Linked DNA regions of Oryza sativa Japonica Group. The protein of the gene in region 2 binds, or shares a complex with, the protein of the main gene of each other region. Links are inferred from orthologs where the notes say so. Each region holds a gene or a part of one and is shown on either strand. Other genes may lie near its edges. The genes, in order: THO complex subunit 6, THO complex subunit 1 and THO complex subunit 3.

Region 1 (7,515 bases), on a different chromosome or scaffold from region 2:
GCACGATCCTTTGCCTCATCACCTAAGTCACGACCTTAGCTGCTTAACAACAGGACCAAAAAACACAAAGCTCATATAAGATAAACGCACAAGCTTAAGCTCTTCAATGCCTAATAGGCCGACACGTAGTTCTTCAGTAATTATGTCCTACTTCCTTCGTTTTACAATGTAAGTCATTCTAGCATTTTCTATATTCATGTTGATGTTAATGAATCTGGATAGATATATATGTCTAGATTCATTAATATCAATATGAATGTGGGAAATGCTAGAATGACTTACATTGTGAAACGGAGGGAGTACAAAATCTGATCTAGCAATTATGCGCTACAGCATACTCAATTGACAATTGCTAAATTTTAGCTTGATGTTTTTTACCTTGTGTATTGAGTTCCTTGTATAATATGATGGGTCATTAATCATGCATTGGGCATATATCAGAATTTATTTCTCTTTGTTGAAAAAGTCTGGTTTTCTGTAACAAGATTTTTCTGAGATAACACAAACACAAGTTCAAGAATATTAGCATCTTCATTTTTCTCCCTTTTATTGCAAAAACATCCTTTTCAGTAATTGTTTGTCAAATTTGATGCCACCAACCGACTTTAAAACATGATGCAGCTAAATCATGAAACTTTCTGGAAATCCTTTCAGGCATAAAAGTTTAGATATGTATGCCCTAAAAATAGTTTGAATACAAATACTTTGCTTGAATTCCTTCGAAGAATTTGCAGCACACAAAAAAAAATCAACAATGACTTGTCAGCTCTTTGTGTGTGATATTCATGCATGATGGTCAGATTCTTTTATGCATTGATTAACCTTATCTTCCTGTCTAATGATTATGATACACACCATTACAAAATTGTGTAGACCTGCATAAGGACTCAAAGGATGAAAGCAAGGTGTCAATGAACAAAATAGAGACCCACAAGAATGAAACTCATGGTACAAGCGATGATATAAATGAGAATACACCAGTTGAGAGAGTTAAAGGTCCAAATGTGTTTGAGCGTGCCAAGGAAGAGATTGAAGCTATTGTTGAAGCCTTCCACCCAAAGAAGGGATCTGACAAGTGAAGATTGAGATGTTCTGTTGCCTCTGTCTGCACTTGATGTGAAAACATTGACATGAGTTATTAATAGATCCATGGATGAGTTGTGAGATATCCATCGGCTGGTCTTATTATTGCCAAACTATGGAGTTGTAACTGTTGAATGGTTCATTGTACCACTGATATATATATGAGCAGAGTGTGTATCATGTGTGACATGAAAGTATTACTGTTCTTCAGTGTTTGATTTTAGTGTATGTTGAACTTAGTCCTTTGCATGATATGGTATTTTACTTGCTACCATACATGCAAAAATCTTTTGAGGTGCATAAATAAAGAGAGAGTCAATTGCTGTACAATTTTATAACCTTATGCTAAGCCTGTGGTTTGGGTTCAACATGCTTCACAAAATAACAGCATTTCCTTAGTGAAACAAGACAGAAACGCGAGATATGAACGATATGATACCTCAAACCCCATGTTCTTTGAAAAATAAAATTTTGAGTTAAATGTTGGTGTTGCTACACCTAGTAGTATAGAGTCTTGAAAAAAATTCCTCTCTTTTGATTTGTGTGGTTTCAAACGCTTCATCTAATTGATCATTCCTGTTATTTTCCTATCCATAAGATTTGAGGGAACTATTTCGAAGGATCCTTTCTCAAGACTCTAAACGGTGTGATTTTCTTAAAACTTTTTGTATAAATTTCTTAGAATACTGTTCTAATATTTTTTTTTAACTTTATACTCCATCCGTATTTTAATGTATGACGCCGTTGAATTTTTGACAAACGTTTGACCTATCGTCTTATTCAAAAAATTTATGTAATTATCATTTATTTTATTGTGACTTGATTTATCATCAAATGTTCTTTAAGCATGATATAAGTATTTTTATATTCGTATAAAAAATTTGAATAAGATGAATGGTCAAACGTTGGTTAAAAAGTCAACGGCGTCATACATTAAAATACGGAGGGAGTAACATTTATTTAATTTGTTTGTTCCCTCGAATAATTATCGCAACATTACGCGAAGCAACAACTCAAATAGATATTTCATATTATTTTATCAATGAATAAGATCTCGTCGTTGGCTTCTCATCACAAAAAAAATAAATATAAATTTATTAGAATATTGTTTTAACCTATTTTTTAAAACTTTATAACAGTTATTTTATTTGTCTGTACCCTCAAATAATTATTACAATACTGTACAAAAACAAATCAAATAGGGATTTCATATTATATTTTTTAATAATGAATAGATCTGGCCGTTGGTTTCTGATCTAAAGGCCCAGCCCAACCAGCCGCTGTCTCTTCCCCCCACTCCTCGACTCGCTCTCGCTTCCGAAGCAGCGGCGGCGGCGGCGGCGAGGCGAGATGGCGGCGGCGGCGTTGGCGGGGATGGACGCGCGGGGGTGGGACGAGGCGGCGTACAGGCGGGGCATCCTGCGGGAGCGGGACCTCTCCTGCCGCACCCTCTTCCGCGCCGTCTTCTTCGACCACCACGACGACGACCCCGACGTCCTCCTCGCCGCCGCCTCCAGCGACGGCTCCCTCGCCTCCTTCTCCCTCTCCTCCTGCATCTCCTCCTCCTCCTCCCATCCCACCCCACAGGTTCGTTCGTTCCCCACACCCGCTCCATGTGCCGCGTCCTCGTGCGCAGCTAAGGTGTTCGATCTTTTGTTTTGATTTGATTGGATTCAGACCCACCCGGATGCCGCGGTCTCTCTGGTTGATCCCGTCTGCATCGTCCAAGCGCACAGTGGCCCGGCCTACGACGTCAGGTTCTACCCGGATTCGCAGCAGCCGCTGCTCTTCAGGTGAATTGCTGTGCTGCTGCTCGTCTTCTCGGTGGCCGTTTTTGTTCAGGTGACATGGCATGACATTTGGCGACGTGATCCGTTGGTTGTGGCAGCGGCGGGGATGACGGGCGCCTTCGGGGATGGAGATGGCACGAGATGCAGAGCTGCCTTGTGCCGCTATCTCTGCAAGGTGCTGCAAAAGAACCCTCACTTCTTACTAGGATTGACTTGGTTAATTAGTTTGGTGTGTGCTTTACCTAGAAGTTCTACCTGTACTTGCTTGCGCACACCCCACAAAGAAAAGGCTAAATTTTTAACAAAGATGTAAAACATTTTGCAAGTCCCATTTCCTTTTCTAGTGCTCTAGTGCATGTTTTTTTTGTGGGGCTAATGCATGTTGTTTAATAGGTTACTTTGTCATTGCTTTTCTTTCCAGGGGATCATTTGGAGCCAGTACTTGATTTGGTGAACCCTCAGCATGAGTAAGTATTCTGTGAAAAAGGACATACATCTGATAATCATTTGACATATCGTTTATTCTAGAGAAATATGCACTTGCACTCTCATCCTCCATCTTTTCAGAGCTTTTGTTTTCGATTTTGTAGGGGTCCTTGGGGTGCTCGCTCTCCAATACCTGAAAACAACGCCATTGCGATTAACAAACAGGTCAACACCAGAAAGTCTGCATTTTCACTTCATCCAAAGAAGCAAAATAATCTCTTGTGTGCATTTTTGTTCATCGTGTATATTATATAGAAATGATGCATATTGTTACTTGCTTAAAAAAAGATATCTTATTCAGTTATTCTTTCTCATCATTCTTCTTCGCAACAGGAAGGATCTGTTTATGCAGCGGCCGGGGATGCATGTGCTTATTGCTGGGATGTGGTATGTATTTTCTTGAGGTAAATGCAATATATAGAAGTCCTGAGCTACATGGAAGGAACTACAGATTTCTTATGATTCATGTGGCACAGGCTTCCATAATTTTCTATTTTCTGTGTGCCTGCTTGAGAAAATATCTGATAGTAGGTTTTACAATGTCTTGTTCTTTCAGGAGAGTGGTAAATGTAAAATGACCTTCAAGGGACATACTGACTATTTGCACAGCATTGCAGTCCGCGAAGCGAACCGCCAGGTTGGTTTGTTATTATTGTACTGATGTAGTCCAATACCATTTTCCCATAGATGTCTTGCCTTCATTTTGTAGTAACTTTTAGTTAATAGAGCCTTTCCTTTTTCAGGTAGTTACAGGATCAGAGGATGGCACAGCCCGTATCTGGGGTGAGCAGTGCTTTTGATAGGATAATTTTGTCTTGTACTTGAAGTGTGCCTTCTCATGTTCATCCTGTTCTAACTGGTCATTTTGTATATCTGCTCGTTGATTCAAGCAAAGAAAAAGCACCAACTAGCTATTTGTCTTTTTGTACTCTTTAATTCACATCTGGTGATCTGGTCACAGGTCACATCATATTCACAAAATTTATCCTCTCTCTTATGAGTTTACCTTCAGACAGGTTTAGAAAGATTTGGCACTACATGGAAATCCATAAAAAGGCATTCTCTTATTTCTGCTCTTTGTGCACTGCAGATTGCAGAAGTGGAAAGTGCACTCAGGTTATACGTCCGGTGAAAAACAAGATTTTTGAGGGGTCATGGGTCAGTTGTGTTGCCATTGATGCAAGTGAAAGCTGGCTGGTAGGATGCACTTCAAGCTGATATAACAATGTGTTATGCATCATGTATTTTACAGTTATTATTATCTTGGTCCTATTTTTCCCAGGCTTGTGGTACTTCTAGTGGTATATCAGTTTGGAGCCTTCTTTCAAATGAGTGCATCTTTAATGTGGATTGCCATGCTCCTGTTCAAGATTTGCTGTTTGACAGAAACCAAGTAAGTCTATCTATTCGTCATGTTCAAGCTAGAGTTTAGCAAACCAGTAAAATTGCCCATGGTTAGAAATGGCTCATCTTGTATTTCAAAGATGGGCTGGCAAAAAATTTAGGACGGATCATTCCATTCTTTAGTCTTTGTGAGTTTAACAAATGCTATACCTGTAGTAAATTAGTGTTCCCCTAGTCAATTATTTCCATTAACAAGTCATATGATAGTTCCACAAGTGCATGATTTATCTATTTAACCAATGCCCTTTCTAAATTTTTTTATGCATAATTGTTTGCCAAATGAAAGTTTGCATAATTGTGTGGATATGAAATTATTATCAGATAATCTCTCAGATATGCACAGAAAATGCAATAAATTATTTCCTGATGATTTATGACATGGTTGCCAAAATTTGAAGCTTTGTGATGTTATTGTTGGAGAGAAACAGAATAAAATCAAAAGCTTTTGCTTCCAAACAAATATAAGAGTGACTCTTCAGCCAACTAGTTATTATTCCTGCAAGGAAAGCTTTTTATTATTGTCTGCTCACATCTATTAGAGATTTACCAAAGCAATGTTGAGTCTGGCGATAGACAATAGAGCAGCACGAAGGATGCATTGTTTCCCAACTCTTGTGGTTTAGGAATTATCAACTGTTTGTTTTCTTATACTCCATTTTCACCATTCAGATCTTAGCAGTCGGTGCTGAACCTCTGCTCTCTCGTTTCTCTATCAATGGGACTCTTCTTTCACAAATCAAGTGTGCTCCTCACTCAGCATTTTCTGTCTCCATACATTCTTCAGGGGTATGTCTGTCTGTCTCTTGATTCTCATTTTGAAATGACTTGGGTATCTGTTTCACCCTACTTCTGGAGTCTGGCCGATTTGTCCTGAGTTTACTACCTTTGTTGTGCAGATGGCAGCTGTTGCTGGATATGGAGGCCTTGTGGATGTAATATCACAATTTGGGAGTCATTTGTGCACTTTTGGCTGCCGGAGCCTGGATAAGTAAGATCTATTGGAACAATTAGCTAAGCACTCTTAATAGTGTAAAGAACTGGAAAAACACTGCCAAGATCTAATTAAGTACTACTACTAGTAATCATACACTTGGGAGCTGTTCAGCTGTAACACTAGTTCATCTCTGTGCTAACTTATGTAATTCACAGTTGTGCCGTTGCTGCTCCGATAGAGATGACTCTAGATCCCTTAAGTTTATTGCTGTTACAATTTCCCTAATGAATTCCCTTGTACGGATTACCTGCTGGTTGCTGCAACACTGCTCTCTTTGCTGACTTTCTCCCTCCATCCCATAAAATACAAACTCAGGATAGGATTTTAAGATGAGATGTGACACATTTTAATATTCTTCAGATTATTCTTAGATAGCCTATCCAAACTCAGGTTTGTCTTTTTATGGGACAAAAGGAGTACATCAGCTTTCCTTTGGCATCACGTGGCACTTGTTTCTCTTTATTAGGCAATATTTATCACAGCTCCATATCTAGATTTAAAATTTATATGTTACTACCTCCGTCCCCTAATATAAGGGATATTCACTATTTTTTTTTTAACGTTTGACCACTCGTCTTATTCAAAAAATTTGTGCAAATATAAAAAACGAAAAGTTGTGCTTAAAGTACTTTGGATAATAATGTAAGTCAAATAAAATAAATAATAATTCCAATTTTTTTTTTAATAAAACGAATGGTCAAACAATGCAAGCAAAATGTCTAAATCCCTTATATTAGGAGACGGAGGGAGTAAATTATAATCACTTAAAAATTATATTTCATCCAAAAATGGAATAAATATTTCATTCAGAAGTAATCAATGTAATTGCCGATTGAAAAATCTATGGATTTGTGGAGGTGGAAATATCCAACTCCAAAAAAAAAAAAAACCTTAGATCCAAAGTTATGCTAGCTCTAAAACATCTTAGATCGGAAGCTATGCCAAAAATCACAGTAACCTTTAGAAGTTTTGATGCATAATTGATAGCACCTTCGAAGCTGTAAGCCTGTAATAACAAATTCTTTTAGGAGTTACCAAGAATGAGTTTATCTTATGTCTGAGATATCTGGACTGCAAAATTCAGTAGCAAATGCACGAGCTGACAGCTGGGCATATTGACTTCTATCCCAAAGGATAACAGATCACATTCTTGCTGATTACAGCACTTGGAAAGCTGACCAAGATTTGACAAGAAAAAAGACCAATTTGGCAAATGGAAATTCATAGTGTCACAAGCGTGCCTAGGCCTTTATAATACAAACAAGAGCTGTCTAAACCAGCAACTAAAAATACAAGTTTTTATTATACAAACAAGAGCTGGCTACTCCAGCAACTGAAAATACAAGTTTTATACTTAATACATTGTTGATGTCGACGGATTTTTTTCCCTAGTTCCACCACCACTGACCCCATATATGTACAACATTCGGGCAAACGCATGCAACATACAGAAGCACCCAGTTTCTGAAAATATATACAGCAAATTCATCCTATATGTACATGAAGATATGAAAATATCATCAGCAAGGCTTCCAAACCAACAACAGAACAGATATGAATGAGCTCCAAGAATATGATCTTCATTCTTCTAACATCATGAAGCACATACCTGAAGCTTTATCTATCACCTATTCGATCGAAGTGCGCGCTAGGCGTTAATCTAGCCATGGTGGTAGATGATAATGGAACTTACAACCTGGGCAAGAGCCACCCGAGAGTCCAGCCGAGAAGCAGTCCAGCACCAACGATGCCTACACC
Region 2 (7,476 bases):
AACCAATAATAGACTAATGGCAAATTCAGTGCCAGAAGAAAGGAAGTAGCATACCGTTTTCTGACTCCAGCTTGGCCTGGTTTCTTTTCAAAAGGTTGTTTTTCAAACGCTAGACACCCATCTCGTTTCCACCATACCTTCAAGTTGAGCCAGCAGGAACAGAATCATTGGTTGTGAGAATTACTATGTTAAGATAAAATATTGCTTACATGCAGCTAAGAGGATACCCAATTTTTCTCCCGCTCAAGAATATGCTCGATGCTTTGTAGGAAGTCCTTCCCTTTTGGTGGAATTATCTCCAGAAGTTTCTTAACACGCTCTTCACAAGAATCGATTTCCTCTTTCTGATTGTAGAGAGCATAAAGTTAATACAGAGTACAGAGTGGCATTTCCTTAATCCTGATTCATTGTCTGTACTAGCCACTATAACCCAGTTGTATCAGGCAGGCAGTTGGTATTAGTTGGCACTGTTATACTAAAAACTAGCACTGCCAAGCAACTTCATACGGTTTGGACAATTTGTGCAATCAGTGTTTGTTAATACTTACATGCCCAGTAGCACACGCTGTGAGAAGTATGCTAATAAGTGATAATAATCGGTTCAACTAAAATGGGAATAGCTATCACAGACTACTTACGATCTCACATAGCATGCACAGAAAAAGGAGCTGATGGTTTCATGAGAACTAATGCTAGCTTTGCCACATTTGCTGTTGTGACTATCACAAACTCAAGAGCAATCATGTAGTAATAGGTGAATACTAAAAATTTGGTAACAGCACAATTTCAGATGCTCAAGTCTAAGTTCAACTGTCCATGGAAAACAATCAGAGAAGTCATTTAGTGGACTAACCATGCTCCCAGTTGGACCTTCTTTGTCAGTCTTTCCAGGTGCCTTGAGAAAGTCGAAGAATATGAGGCACTGGACAAGGATGTGGCGTCGAAAACTTGGGTCCTTCAACTGCAAAGAAGCAATTGCCATATGAGTCTATGAACAGTGAACAATAATAAAAAGTTAGTATCAGCTGATCAAAAAGTTCTTACCTCCAAACCCATCAATTTACTACTTGTCAGGTACTTAATATTGAAAGCAGCATCTTCCTCTTGGTCAAGATTGTTAAGTTTTCCATCATCGTCACTGAGAGGCTGAGCTTCAAATGTGCTTAGCACAACCTGCACTTTCATTAACAGTAAACATCAACGAGAAGTTCAGAATTAACATTTTGCATTGGGAAAGAAAAAGGTTCATGTAATTGTAAAAATGCGCAAAAGGATGTACCGTTAAATTGGACACAAACTTTTGCCATCTTGTCAGATTTGCAGCAGTTAAAGCAGGGTTACTAAAATGCTCCTGGAACATAAATAAAAAGACAAATGAGCATGAGAAACAATATAATGTTTAAAAGTTAAGAAGCGTGTCAGGAATCAATTATGATTTTTGAATCCCACAGAATGACAGGGTACAAAGCAGCCACCTGCAGACTCCATAGGGTATTGTAGAAGTTGAAATCAACAGAAATTCCTGAGAAAAAAAAAGGCTTACATTAGGGAGTTCTATCCTTTTACGAGAACAGTTGACTGAAGAAATAAAAAATTGAATAAAGTCACACGAAAAACACACAACAAAAAAATAATAAATATTTTTTTTATCAGGATAGTCATACTCACCATCTGTAGCGTCTTTCTCGTACTTTGTTTCATTTGATGTGTTAAAAACCCCCTTGATATTGAGAGCTGATAAAATAGAAAAACAAGGAAAATGTAGTTATGCACTCCTTGCCAATAAGGGGCTGTCTAGGAGGGGACAGAGAGATGCAAAATATGCAAACCTGAACGTTCCGATAATGGGAAGAAATGTGCTAGAAACATGATAATACGTCCGCAGAATACCACATCATTTGCCTGTGGTATTTCAGAACAAAGGGTATCAATGCTAGTACAGAACACAACCTTATAGGCTGTCAAAACTCCGAGAAATGTAAAGAATATATTTGTTCAATACTCACTAAAGCAAAAGGACCACAACATCGCAATGTACAATACGATTTTTATGATATGTCCAATAGCTTGGTATTTTTACAGTAAATTTGTCATTACCAAAGATCTTACTGAACAGTGAGCACAGCAGTCAGCTTAGTACTTGATAAAACTGCTCAGCACAGAAAATAAGGAAAGCACAGAATGATTTCAATCTACAGACATTCGGACTACGACAAAGTAGATAGCAGAGTATGCATAAGAAAACAGATGAATCTAACCTTTGATAATCTTCGAAGTAGTTGGTTGCAAGTCCTTAGCATAACAAGCTTGCCACGCCCGAAAAGCTCTTGCTACAAACAACTCAATGAGGTAATCCCCATTAGCAAAGCAACTGCATACATCATATGTGCCTTACAAGCACCAATTTAACAAAATGTAGTACAAAAGACAAATTCTCAATTACCTTCCCCAAGACATCTTGTTTGCTCTCAATATATCCAAATACATCTTTGCAGTCTTTGATAGTTGACATTTCTGTCAGATCTTCTAACAGCTGGAATACCATACCTCCCTCAACATGCCCTCTTTCACAAAGGTAAAGCACGATATCTAACATGAAAAAAAAGAAGATCTCTCAAGAGAAAACAGATAAATCTCTAAATAGTGCTCAGGAACCAATGTGAGAAAGGAGCAGTAAAAAGGTTCCAACTAACCAAGAAGACGTGTTATCGGGCAATTATTTTCTTCATTATCCCCATATTGCATTATTCTTTTACCAGATTGAACTGCAGATGACTACAAATATAGATATGAAACGAAATCAGCAACAAGCATTAATCTATAGGGCTGCATGACAGGCAAGTAAGGATTGCACAATTTGAACAATAGAACTACCTATCGTTCAGGTACATGGTAAATACTTGCAGACGGTTATTAAACAGAAGATAGAAACTTAATGAAATGTATGGAGAAAGGAGAAGTTGCATTACGCTAACTTGTAAATGTGAGACAGTGACCCCAAAAAAAAAATCATCTACTACCACATTACTTTGTAATAGTGTTGTTACAGAGAACAAAGACTAGTGCAGGCACATGCGTGGTAAGGAAGCTTACTGCAAGTTCCTGCAGCAATTTGCGTAGAGCATTTTCTAAGGATTGGTTCTCCTCCAGAACCAACACTGTTTGCTTCTGCAAAAAATCAGATGAGCAACTAACTTAAAAACGTGTGTATGCACAAGACAACGCAAGGAACATCAAGTACAGTAATCCATCATCTATGAGAAAGCTACAAGCCTACAAGCATGGCTGACTGTGGTGCATTGTGTACCTGAGGTTTAATCGCATCCTGAACGGCCTGAAGGGCAAAAGCTTCAGGGGATTCAGTCCTAGACAGCGCATCCCGGAACACTCCCTGTGAACAAACGAGATTTCTCAAATCTACTGCACAACACAGAAATAATTCCGCGCAAATTGACAGAAAACCCTCGGTTCATGACATCCTCCCACACTGGCACCCCCGGGGGCATACTAGATAGGAGAGTGGACAACTCACGATGATGCGGTCGCGGTCGGTGTGGCTGGAGACGGCGGCGGAGGTGGCGGCGGCGAGCGCGGAGGAAGAGGAGGCCGGTGGCCGGTCCTTGCTGAGGAGGATGCGGAGCCCGGCGTTCGACGGCAGCGGCGGCGTGGGCTCCGCCATGGCGTGGTGGGTCAGAATGGAAGGGTAGGTTTCGGCACACTGGCTGGAGCCTCTCCCTCCCCGCTTCCAAGCTGGACTAGTATCCCACGGCGGCGGGCTCCGGCCTCCGGCGGCGCGCAGGCGACGGCGGATGCGGGGTTGAAGCCTCCTAGGGGATCGGGGAAGAAGGTGGGGTAGGGGATGCTGTCTTGTGGGCCGCGTTTAGGAATTACTGGGATTTTGGGTTGTTATTGGGCCGATCTATATCAGACGGGAATAAGTTCGCATTAGATCCCGTAATTTGCCACGAGGATAACACTTTGGTTGGGGTTGGAGAAGCTAGCCGGTGATAATCTAGATAAGCTTCTTCTATCTTCTAGTTCATTTTTAGATTTTACAACTATATCTTCTTAAAATCTGAGTGAAAATTTAGACTGTTTGTGAGAGCTTTTAAAAAAATCTCCAGTTGCCATAAACTTCCCCAAACATGCCTTGAATTCGTCCCGAACCGAAATACCAACGCTACAGCTCATCCTTCAACTCACAATACCGTATCAACTTTGGTCCCACGATAGTATGGTGGCTAATTTTAAGTTTTAACTGATGTGGGAAGTAGGACTCACGTGGACCTCACACAATAGCGACAACTCTTTGTCTCTCTTCCCTGTTCTCCAGGAGTACCGAGATCCAATCCTCATCGCCGCACCGCTCGTGCTGTCGGTGCTCTTGTTCGTCTCCATCCCGGTCCTCGCAGAATGCTTGAGCGCCTCCTCCCGCCCAAGAAGCTCCCCGGCCATCCCGGACAGCGACGAGTTTTAGCCTTTTAGGGGCTATTCAGATTGTAGCCGAAATAAACCTTACTAATTTTTGGCAATTTGGTAATATTGTCAAAATTTTGGCAGGATTTCTTATGCATTTACTAAAGTTTGGCAAGAATCTAAATGGATGCACATATTTAACAACTCTACCAAAAAAAAAAGTATAGTTTGAAAAGACATCAATCTGAACGAGCCCTTAAACTCGACGACAAATTAAGGACCTTAAATGAACTTATTTCTATCAGACGTCAACGATGTAGCCCAGCACATCCACACCATGCGTGTTCTTGCTGTCACCGCGGCCACATCCTCCTCCTCTAGAAGAGGGGATAAAGAACTTGATGATGGAGGAGAGATTCGCGGAGAAATCTACGTCTTGACCGGACTTCTCCCGTGGAAGTTTCTTTGCAATCAGTATACTAATGCAAGCGACGACGAGATCAACAATTTTCTTTTTTCGCCATGACATTATTATTCATACTCTCATCCAATAATGTCCAAGTCTGAAGCCTCGAGTAGCTAGTTCATGTGTCGTGATTATGGATTCAAGAACTAGCAGTGCAGACAAAATGGTCAGGTCAGTCTCACAGAAGACCAAAGATGTGCAATACTAACATTGTTTCAAACTACTACGTATTTCGTCACAAAATCTGCAGATACAATTTTTTGCAACAGCGGCACAATCTGGTTTGTGCGCTAAACATCATAGTACAAGTGTACAACCAAAGGGCATGTATCAATAACATGGATTGATTAAACTTATGCTCCGTTCATACTCAAACCAGCGACTTCATATGCCGACAGAGAGAATTGGGAACAGCATAAGCCAACAAATACTACAACAACTGGGAAACCATCTGATCATTATACAACCAAACCACAAAAGGTTTACCTAAAGTGTTTACAAAATGCAAGGTACACTGCGCTAAAGCTCCTAAATCATTGGAACAAACATAAAGTAGGGTAAATGCAGGACATGCAATTAATTTAGATCTCTGAGGGAGGTTTGACAGTATGAAAACCAAACCATCAACCACATGGCATACTGATGCAATGCAGTAAAGCCAATGAACTGGAATTGAGTTATTAGGAGTAAACCAAAATTATTAGAGCAGTTCAAGAGTACACACACTACAATCTCCAACATTCTGAGCAAAAGCATCCATGATAGGTAGAGGTGTAAGGGGAAAAAACAAAACCAAGAACAAGTGACAGAAGTCAGTTTCCAAACTAGTGTTTGGCACATTGGCTGTTGGTTACACATGTACAAAGCCATGGAGAAGTGTAGAGATTTAAAGCCTTCATCATAGGAGAAAAGGCCGATGGCATTCTGGATTAAGTAGCTTTTTGGTTGTTTTGATTCCTGTCTCGGTCCCCTGCTGCGTTTGGGTTTTGTAAATAACTCTTTATTTCTCTTAATACAAAAATGCACTCCTTGCGTATTCCCAAAAATACATCCGCCATGATATGCTAGTATCTGAATGGCCACTGAAGGATAAATAGTTCAGAAGTATCCTACACCATGTTAGCTTCAAATTTATCTTAAGATAACAAGCATTTAGGTGCCGCATATGCTGTCATAAGGTTTATTTTAAGCCATGAAACTACTGGCCAGCAAACATCATTCCAGTAACTTCCTACCAAAAATACTACTGGTACGTTAAACTCTACACAAATGGTAACCAAATGAATGAAGAAAACAACTCAATTTAGTGCCATATCGAATCTCTGAACCCAAAGAAACTGCGCCTAGCATCCTTTAGATAAAGACATCAAGACAAGTCTATTGTAAAATATGTTGGACAGTCACAGTCAAGGGTATGGCCGGATGAACAAGTTCTAAGAAGAAATGGAACAAACATCAGCTGTCACCATACAATATATGGAAAATAATAATCAGTTTGCTCCAGAATGGCCTATATCGTGATCCTCCATCCAAAATGGATGGCCTACCAAAATATATTAGCCCTTTCATGGTAGAAAATTCTGCACATTCACTGACCACAACTGCACAAAACATGAGTAGAAAAACTAGCTAGTACTCCATAATTTACCAGAAGTTGTACACAACATATTGCAATTTTGCTGAGCAGAAGAACCAAATATGTTCCATGTTTCATGATCAATAAATAAGGACACTTCAGTTTCACTTTAAATTATGTAAGAAAACATCAAGACCGTATTCATAATTTGTTTCTTTTCGAAATCACACACACATACTGAGTCAGACAGACGCAACACATATATAGGTGCTAATAGTAGTATATATACCCCGCAAATCCACGCGATCATTTATCACAAATTCTTAAATTGGCCATCGGCGAGATAGCCCAATTCCCCACCCCTAGTTCTTACCGCCGACGTACTGTTCGGCGTCGTGGATGATGACGTATCCGGCCTTCTTGGGGCTCTCGGAGTCGGACAGCTCGTCGTCGTCGTCTTCGCCGTAGACCTCGTCGTAGGAAGGAGCGCAGGTGGAGGCGAGGAGGGACCAGACGAGGTACATGGTCGCGGCGGTGAGGGCGCCGCAGCCGAAGCCGAAGAGGAGGCCGGAGACGACGACGAGGATGTCCTTGGCGCGCTCCTGGACGGACGAGGCGGCGTCGGAGGCGGCGGGGAGGGGATCGGGGCGGGGGATCTGGAGGGGGTGGTGGGGGCCGAGGCGGCGGACGCGGAGGACGGTGACGACGGTGGTGGTGAGGGGAGTGGGGTTGTTGGGGTCGGGGTTGGGCCTGGAGACGGAGGAGAAGGAGATGAGGAGCGTCTGGGCGTGGCCGCAGGGGCGCCCGGCTGCCGCGGGGGAGAGGAGGAACACCGCGGCGACGACGGCGAGGAGGAGGAGGCGGGCGGCGGCGGCGGCCATGGCGACGCGGTGGATTTGGGGGAAAATTCCGCTGGCTTGGCGAGGAGGAGGAATAGAAGGTTTGACTTGGTTGGGAAAAAATGACTTGTTATTTATGGCCGGAGTCTTTGGAAGGGGTCATTTTACGGTTTGGTCCC
Region 3 (7,327 bases), on a different chromosome or scaffold from region 2:
ATACCTGGCATCAACACATTCTGTAAGTATCCTTGTCAAAATCATTTTAAGCTCCATTTAGGGCTCAAAGAAACAAAATATTCACCAGATAATTGAGAACAAATGTACAATACTTTGGCATAGCTACACTAATGCATGAAACATGTTTGTATACCACTATATCCATGCGAACAAGAACATGATACTTTTCCACAATAAATTTTGTTGAGGTTCATGTAGCAGCTCAAATCTCCAAACATTAACATGAAGACTTGCAATGGTGTATAGCAAATAATCCATTCTTTTACATGGAGTAGAAGGCAACAAGTGGCAAACTATTTTGCACCCTTTCTTTTACATGCTAGTAAAGGTGCCTGTTAGTTGCAACGGGAGATGGGGGAAGGACGTGCTATTCAGTTTTTCTATCCCAGTTTTTTACCAGTGGGGCGTTTTTATATGTGGGTCCACTTCTTTTGGAGGGCTGTTTTTTTTTTTCTGCGGGTAAACAAAACTTCACTCCTGATAGGAAGCATGCACAGACGAACGAAACTTGCCTTTCAGAGTAGTAGAGAAACACTGAATTCAGTGTCCCATTTATATTTAGGCATGGGTCATCATAGAATCACTTATGGCTAGGTGCTATCACAGGTGAGATTCACTTAAAGGTAGCTTGGACAGAAAGTTCTTTTTTTTACATATACCAGTATCACTATCAACTGTCAAAAGACCGAGATAGAATACAACATTAGTAATACCCAAAATATAGTATGTCAAATAACTTCACTCATGCCTATGCTTTATATTACCTTGAAATAAAAAAAATCGTTAACTACATAAAACAACTAGCATCAGTATAAGGCATTAAGAGAATTAGAGTTCAAAGCGAAGTCAAACAGCATATAGAGAACCTAATGATTATAGCATAAAGTTCAAAAGATAATGTAGTTACAATGAAATGTCATTGGCTGAGATGTGAGTTGATGTTGAACAAATGAGCGAAGACAGAAAAAATCATCACCTATCAAGGGGATCCATTCCAATGCAATAACAACCCGCTGTATGAGCATTCAATTTGCCAACCACATGAAGGGTGTCATCAAGGGAAGGATCACCAAATACCTCAACATTTCCTACATAAACAGCAAACAATGTAATTACACTGATACCAACTGGTGTGATATTGAAACTTAAAACAACATATGGGTTTTGTATCTTACCAAGTCCAGTAGTGATGAAGAATAAATCTCCAGTTTTGTTCCATGCAATCTCATTTATCTGAGGAACAACAAATCAATAATTTACTTCAGAAAAGTTAACTGATCTGAGGAGCTATATGATTCATTTTTATCAGTAGCAGGTGTACGGGCATTTAGCTAGTTGAAATAGAAAATTTACAAAACTGCAACATAAGTAATGCAGCAAATGAAATTAAAGTACATCGAATAGTTAGGTAATTCACACTCAGTAGTCAGTACTAATTCAAATACCAGCAGGCAATTTTCCTGTTCCAGACAAAGATGCACATGCTGCCGACTTATGCCCACTCTACTTTTTCTCAAAAGGTATATGACTATATGTGCATGTTCATTCAGAGCAGCGAAAGATTCCAAAAGGAAGAAGAAAATTGCTAGAAGAATGTTTCAACAATTCAAACCTTCAAGTGGAAAGTACCTCATAATTAAACTTAAATTTGTGAAGGGCTTTTAGCTTCCGAACATCCACTATTGTCAACTCATCCTCCTGCAAATCATAGTGACAGCTGTTACTACACTTGTACAATTTTATAAAACTAGAACTCACAAAGTAAACACATTGGTGTACGCGGGACCTTGCGAACTAACTTGTAAACTTTATAAAAATAGGTTTACTACAATTATTATAAAATTTACACACCACTCCCCAGTCCCCATGCTCAATAACACTTTACTAACTTTGCATAGCAAAAAAAGTAAATAATTCCATCTAATTTAGGATCAATATGTATATATTCAAGTGTGTCCATACTGAGCTATGTTGTATTGATACTTATACAGAGAGCATGTCAAACACAAGAATGAACATTGCAATTTAGATGCTAATTTGCCAAATAACTCATCACTCAATCTAATATAAATCAGATTATAGTTACACATTTCTCTTTGGAAAGAATTTTATAAATTCCTTTCAAAATATTGTAACCCTCTTCTGGCATGATATATGCAAATCAAAACCAGTTCCTTAGTCATAAATGACTACCGTTCTTGAAGTTAACAGGGATAACAGCCTAGGCAATACATACCTTGTTTCCAACAGCTATTTGAGTACCACCATGTTTATAAGTGATATTGATGTTTTCTCCACTAAGTTCGACGACTTGACATTTTCCACCTGGAAAAGAACACGTCAAACAGTTTGAGAAATAGCGGGTCAAATAAATAATATAATTTTAAAAGGCAAACTGCAGGCCCAAATCTTGTAGAGTTATAAATAGAGAATCAAAAGTATGATGTACAATCCTATGAAAAAAATCGAAGTACAACTAAAAAAATTCTGAAACTAACTTTCAGGTAGAGTCACTACACAAAAGAATAAGACATCTTGTCTGGTAACAACAAGTTCATTGTAAATGGAACATAGGGATTGAACAAAGTGACAAAAAGGGATTCATCAATTTCAGAGAGAAGCTGAGAATGCTGAACACAACTGTGGATATCTTAGTTCTTTAACCTTCAAAGATGAAGGGAACCACTTACTCCGTGCATCCCAGAGGCGAATTGACTTGTCAGCAGCTGCTGTAGCAACTGTATCAGGATGCTTCGGATCCCAGCAGAGCTGATCTACACAATCTGTGTGGCCTTTCAATTCAATGTCTTTAACCTTGGACTGTGCAATATAAAAACCCTAATCAGCACAGTACTGACTTGGTACTTCCAGGGAAATAGAAACCATCTGGGGTTTTTTCCCCTCCTACGTTCCAACCAAAAATGTCTTAGTGTTCTCAAAACAATATAATTTAGCTTAGAATTTATTTTCCTCAAAACCGCAGGAGGGCTGCGCTTCCTTTCATTAAGAAGAAGAAATAAGTACAACTGAGGGATCCAAAAGAACCCCTAGCTAAGAAATCATTCACAATTTCACATTAAATAGCTCAAACATATGTCTCAGAGACACAGGCTATGGTATGCTTAAGTGTGATTACTGTCTGAGTTTCTATAATTTTAAATTATACAGCGGGAGATATTTCCAATTAATCATCATGCTTATCTTTCAAATTTATAGAAATGTTCATAAAAAAAGGGTGACAGTTATTCATAGTGAATGACAATAAATGCGTTTATCTAATAATTCCATAATAACAATGAAGGTTATTTTGTTTGCAATCAGGAAAGGAGAGAATGTTTACATGGCCATGGGGATCGATACTCCATACACGTGCAGTATGATCAATAGAGCCTGAAGCAAGCTTCATGCCTAGGCAGTTCCATGCTACAGAGTGCACCTAACAGTAAAACAAAAGATCAGAATTATACAAAATTTAAGGCTGATTATGTATGTAAGATAGATAAAAAAGAAGGCAAAAAGCGACAGAACCAGTTAAATGCTGCACCTCCATGTGTGGAAGGATTATTTAGAAAAACAAGAAACAGAATTCAAGAAAGAAACAGAGAAATATCGTTGTACTATGATTCTTTCTGCAAGTAAGATTTTTTTTTCCCTTTGAATTCTTCCCCTCAGAGGAGTAGCAACTTTACAAAGTCAGACAAGAAGTCCCTTTTCGTGAAACCAAATTCCTTCAAAAATTAGGAGTAATTATGACCAGGAATCATATTTGACAATGCGCTCATTCACCAGCTCCCAGAAGGAAAGCAACCAACCAAAGCTTCATTCAATCTCAACATGGCTTAGCCCTAGAGCAAAAGAATCAGCATATATACGGCATGAACGCGAGGAATCAATCACTATATCCTGCTCTAGAATTAGAAACAAAACCGTACGTGTGAACCAAAGATGGATGCATTTTCGTCCTAATTTTTGCTTGTAACATCCGGATTTTAGGGCTTCCCCCTCGCAGGACTTTTGAGGGTTTAGGACCTCATGAGAAAAAAACTTATCCCCGCGTAGGATTGGTGAGGGGGGAATCGAAAAGGTTACCTTCTTCTTGTGGCCGAAATACTCCCTCGACACCAGGTTCTTCAGGTTCATCCCCGGCGTCGAGCTTCCGCCACCGCCGCCCCGCCGTCTGTCGTCTTCTTTCCCCTCCATTGTCCCCGCGGACTGGGGCACGGGTCTGGTTTTGCTATTCCCCACTCACCGCGTCACGAGGCGCAAGGCGGCGGCGGCGGTGGCGGTGGCGGCGGCGGCGGGCGCGAGACGGAGGAGGGAGAGCCGGGGACGGCGTCGGCGGGGAAGAGGAGAGGGTTTTCGCAGAAACGTCCTTCTACTTTTTTGTTTATTCATGCCACAAGTTCATGCGTTATCCTTACCATGGAGCCATGGACACATCCTTTGGTTTTTGTTTAATTGAATCCATGCCATTGTAAATATACCGATAAATGTTATTACAATTCGTCTTTTTTAATTGTGACATTGAAATTTTATAAAATTAGAACCATGCCACTATAGTAATATTTTCCATCCATCTTCGTCTTCTTAGATTCATCTTTCCCCTCTTTTTTTTTCTCATCTCTCTCCACCACCTCTTTGGAGGGGACAGCCGCTGCGGCTGTTGGCAACTTTTTGTGACAAGTCGACAATTACGATCGCAGCACCTAAACGCCTTGCGGTGATATGGAGTCGCCAACCACCTCGATCTAGCCAAACGGCCAAATCAAGATGGGTTTTGTAGAAAAACAGCTAAACCGGCTAGCGGAGCCGATTTAGAGATCAAAAATCAGCCTCTAAGCCGATTTAGATCGATATGAGGATAACTAACCTGTCTCATAGGCAATACGGAAGGTTTTCAGGACAAATCTACAAAGAGGTGTCGCACTCTCGCAGCGGCGGCGGACGGTTTACGGCGCAAACCGACAAAGATGGATTAAAACTAGGGTAAAATAGAAAACATGGTAAAAGAACGATTCAAGTAAATTGTATTCGGGGGTTTTACAATGAACCGGCCTTGTCCCTTAAATAGGGGTTGGTCTTACCCTCTACAGGCCCTTCTCCATATCCAACTCGGGATAGAAACCAAAGGAAACACGAAACCTACCTTCCCAGGCAAGGAAACCCGAGACCCGACGAAAACAAACTCGGACTCGGACCCTGACGGTTTGACCGCCCACATACCTGCGGTCAGACCGGCCCTACTAGACGGTCAGACCGCCCACACACCTGTGGTCTAACCGGCCCTGTGAAGGAAACCCGTCACTTTCCAAACTTTGGCAATTTTCCTCTATTTCGTCCATAGGTGCCAAATTTGGGTGTAAACACATGCCCCCCTGCCTTTTTTGTAAACATACGTGAACCTAAAAGCATAGAACATGTTATGTCAGGGTGATAATCCAATTACCGCCCATAGGACTTCCTAAGCATCTTGCCAAATGCTCGGGAAATATTTCTTCAAGTATTTCCCATTAATTGCTCTCTGAAAACACCGTCTTGAAGTGTCTTCATCTCCTTCAAAGTCTTTAAACGCTTGTCGATGACGTCTTTAAAATTGTTTCCCATCAAGGTCTTGTAATCTTCAACCGACAAGTCGTCTTGCTTGAAATACCGAAGAGAGCCAAGATTTACCCCAACTGGCAAAACGACAATTTCAACAATGTTTTATTACTCAACTCGGCTTATCCATTAGCCTGAGCGTAGTAAAGAGAAGAACTCATCAACTTAATAGCATAAGATTCGGCAAAACTTCTCACTCCGTACAAGTAATATTCTCGAGCGGCACGGCTTCGGCCCACTTAGTGAAGTAATCCATTGCAACTAGCACGAACCAACGCCCTTTTGATGACGAAGGATAAATTTGACCAATGAAATCCAAAGCTCAACCTCAGAACGGCCATACTTTAATGATAGGATTCAACACAGCGGTAGGCGCTAATTGAACATTGCCGATCCGTTAACAAGCTTCACTCCCTCTATAACATTTGAAACAATCATCAATTATTTTCGGCCAATGAAACCACACTCTCCTAAGCAACCAATTTATCTTACGGGCCGATTGATGAATTTCACAAATCCCTTCATGTACTACTCTCCTAGCAACTTTAAACTGATCATTATCTAAGTAATACTCCATCTATTTTTCGGCGATATAATATTTGAGCGCTTGCCGCCGAATCTTCTGATCAACCTTAAGTGTAGGATCTTCAAATATCTAATCGAAGGAATTCTCCAAGCTATTTCTAACTCATGGGCACAAATGTCCGAATTCACAATTAATTCGGCCTTTTAATCAATTGTAACGTGCCCCCCAGCTCTCGGCCCGCTATCGGTCAGACCGGCCACGCAATGCCGGTCAGACCACCCTGTCTGTCCGGTCAGACCGGCCATGTAGAGCCGGTCAGACCGGCCGTGCAATGCCGGTTAGACCATCCTAGGTCTATGACTTTGCCAATTTCGTCCAAACTTTTGAAATCAAGCATCGGCCTTTAGTATATAATTTTTCTTCACATAATAGCCAAATGCTTGGTGTATCAAATTATTGGACCAAAATTCCTTCTCTCTAGATATATGAAAAATTATAACATTCAACTAATATGTCTAGATGAATACTAATTCAATTGGCTTTTGAAACAATAATCATCATGGCATCACAACACTTAGCCAATTGAAGTATGATCAATAATGAATCACCAAAGTCATATGTGCCACATGCATAGATTCCAATAAACTAAAAATGTAAGTAATCGGCTTGAGCATGTATGCAAAATATTAATAATGCCAATGTTCCTAAATACAATAACTCTAGAACAAATCATGACACTGACCATTGACATTAGCCGAATTACTAATAGGCAAAACTTTCATGGTGCAATAAATATGAAATCTATATCTTATATGGTGATCCATAAAAAGACATATGATTTGGCTTTAAATAAATATCAAAGAGTCATGAGCCAAGTCATACTTCAAACAAATTATATGCCAACCTACCAATTCTACTACCTAGAACTGGCATTCGCAACATGTATGTATAATATCAATTTGATAAGCAAAAACACACATGTGCTAGATAGCAAGCAATGTTCTAACATGGCATAGGCGTATAATATAACATTGAACACAATAAACCCATACCTTGCCTTAGCATCTAACAAACGGCGGCTCAAAGATGTGATGTTGTATCCATCGCCGTTCATCTTCTCTTGGTTCCCTCATAAACATAATAATGTCTTGCCCCCTAAGCAAAATCGGCTTTCTCGACTGC

The links.
Region 1: THO complex subunit 1 (region 2) and THO complex subunit 6 share a complex: the UniProt entries of both Arabidopsis thaliana proteins name them as parts of the THO complex. The link is inferred for Oryza sativa Japonica Group from reciprocal best matches to the Arabidopsis thaliana genes THO1 and DWA1.
Region 3: THO complex subunit 1 (region 2) and THO complex subunit 3 share a complex: the UniProt entries of both Arabidopsis thaliana proteins name them as parts of the THO complex. The link is inferred for Oryza sativa Japonica Group from reciprocal best matches to the Arabidopsis thaliana genes THO1 and TEX1.

What each region holds. Positions count from the first base shown.
Region 1 is NC_089043.1:16,264,290-16,271,804, reverse strand, and holds THO complex subunit 6, read left to right. Parts: upstream 1-2,378; 5' UTR 2,379-2,433; coding exon 2,434-2,670; intron 2,671-2,760; coding exon 2,761-2,876; intron 2,877-2,971; coding exon 2,972-3,048; intron 3,049-3,294; coding exon 3,295-3,340; intron 3,341-3,463; coding exon 3,464-3,524; intron 3,525-3,692; coding exon 3,693-3,746; intron 3,747-3,915; coding exon 3,916-4,000; intron 4,001-4,102; coding exon of another isoform or gene 4,103-4,106; coding exon 4,107-4,142; intron 4,143-4,449; coding exon 4,450-4,556; intron 4,557-4,641; coding exon 4,642-4,752; intron 4,753-5,432; coding exon 5,433-5,549; intron 5,550-5,659; coding exon 5,660-5,755; 3' UTR 5,756-6,003; downstream 6,004-7,515. Other genes in the region: uncharacterized protein, read left to right, coding at 874-1,079; uncharacterized protein, read right to left, coding at 7,447-7,515. UniProt on the Arabidopsis thaliana protein: Acts as a component of the THO subcomplex of the TREX complex which is thought to couple mRNA transcription, processing and nuclear export.
Region 2 is NC_089037.1:606,382-613,857, reverse strand, and holds the start of THO complex subunit 1, read right to left. Parts: upstream 3,855-7,476; 5' UTR 3,680-3,854; coding exon 3,533-3,679; intron 3,392-3,532; coding exon 3,308-3,391; intron 3,169-3,307; coding exon 3,094-3,168; intron 2,776-3,093; coding exon 2,694-2,775; intron 2,590-2,693; coding exon 2,444-2,589; intron 2,331-2,443; coding exon 2,259-2,330; intron 1,903-2,258; coding exon 1,830-1,902; intron 1,735-1,829; coding exon 1,669-1,734; intron 1,523-1,668; coding exon 1,476-1,522; intron 1,352-1,475; coding exon 1,280-1,351; intron 1,174-1,279; coding exon 1,045-1,173; intron 962-1,044; coding exon 854-961; intron 345-853; coding exon 228-344; intron 138-227; coding exon 55-137; intron 1-54. Other genes in the region: uncharacterized protein, read right to left, coding at 6,821-7,339. UniProt on the Arabidopsis thaliana protein: Acts as a component of the THO subcomplex of the TREX complex which is thought to couple mRNA transcription, processing and nuclear export. Contributes to the integrity of the endogenous trans-acting small interfering RNA (ta-siRNA) pathway.
Region 3 is NC_089043.1:11,599,485-11,606,811, reverse strand, and holds the start of THO complex subunit 3, read right to left. Parts: upstream 4,399-7,327; 5' UTR 4,222-4,398; coding exon 4,111-4,221; intron 3,458-4,110; coding exon 3,362-3,457; intron 2,842-3,361; coding exon 2,712-2,841; intron 2,347-2,711; coding exon 2,258-2,346; intron 1,720-2,257; coding exon 1,651-1,719; intron 1,255-1,650; coding exon 1,197-1,254; intron 1,110-1,196; coding exon 998-1,109; intron 5-997; coding exon 1-4. UniProt on the Arabidopsis thaliana protein: Acts as a component of the THO subcomplex of the TREX complex which is thought to couple mRNA transcription, processing and nuclear export. Contributes to the integrity of the endogenous trans-acting small interfering RNA (ta-siRNA) pathway.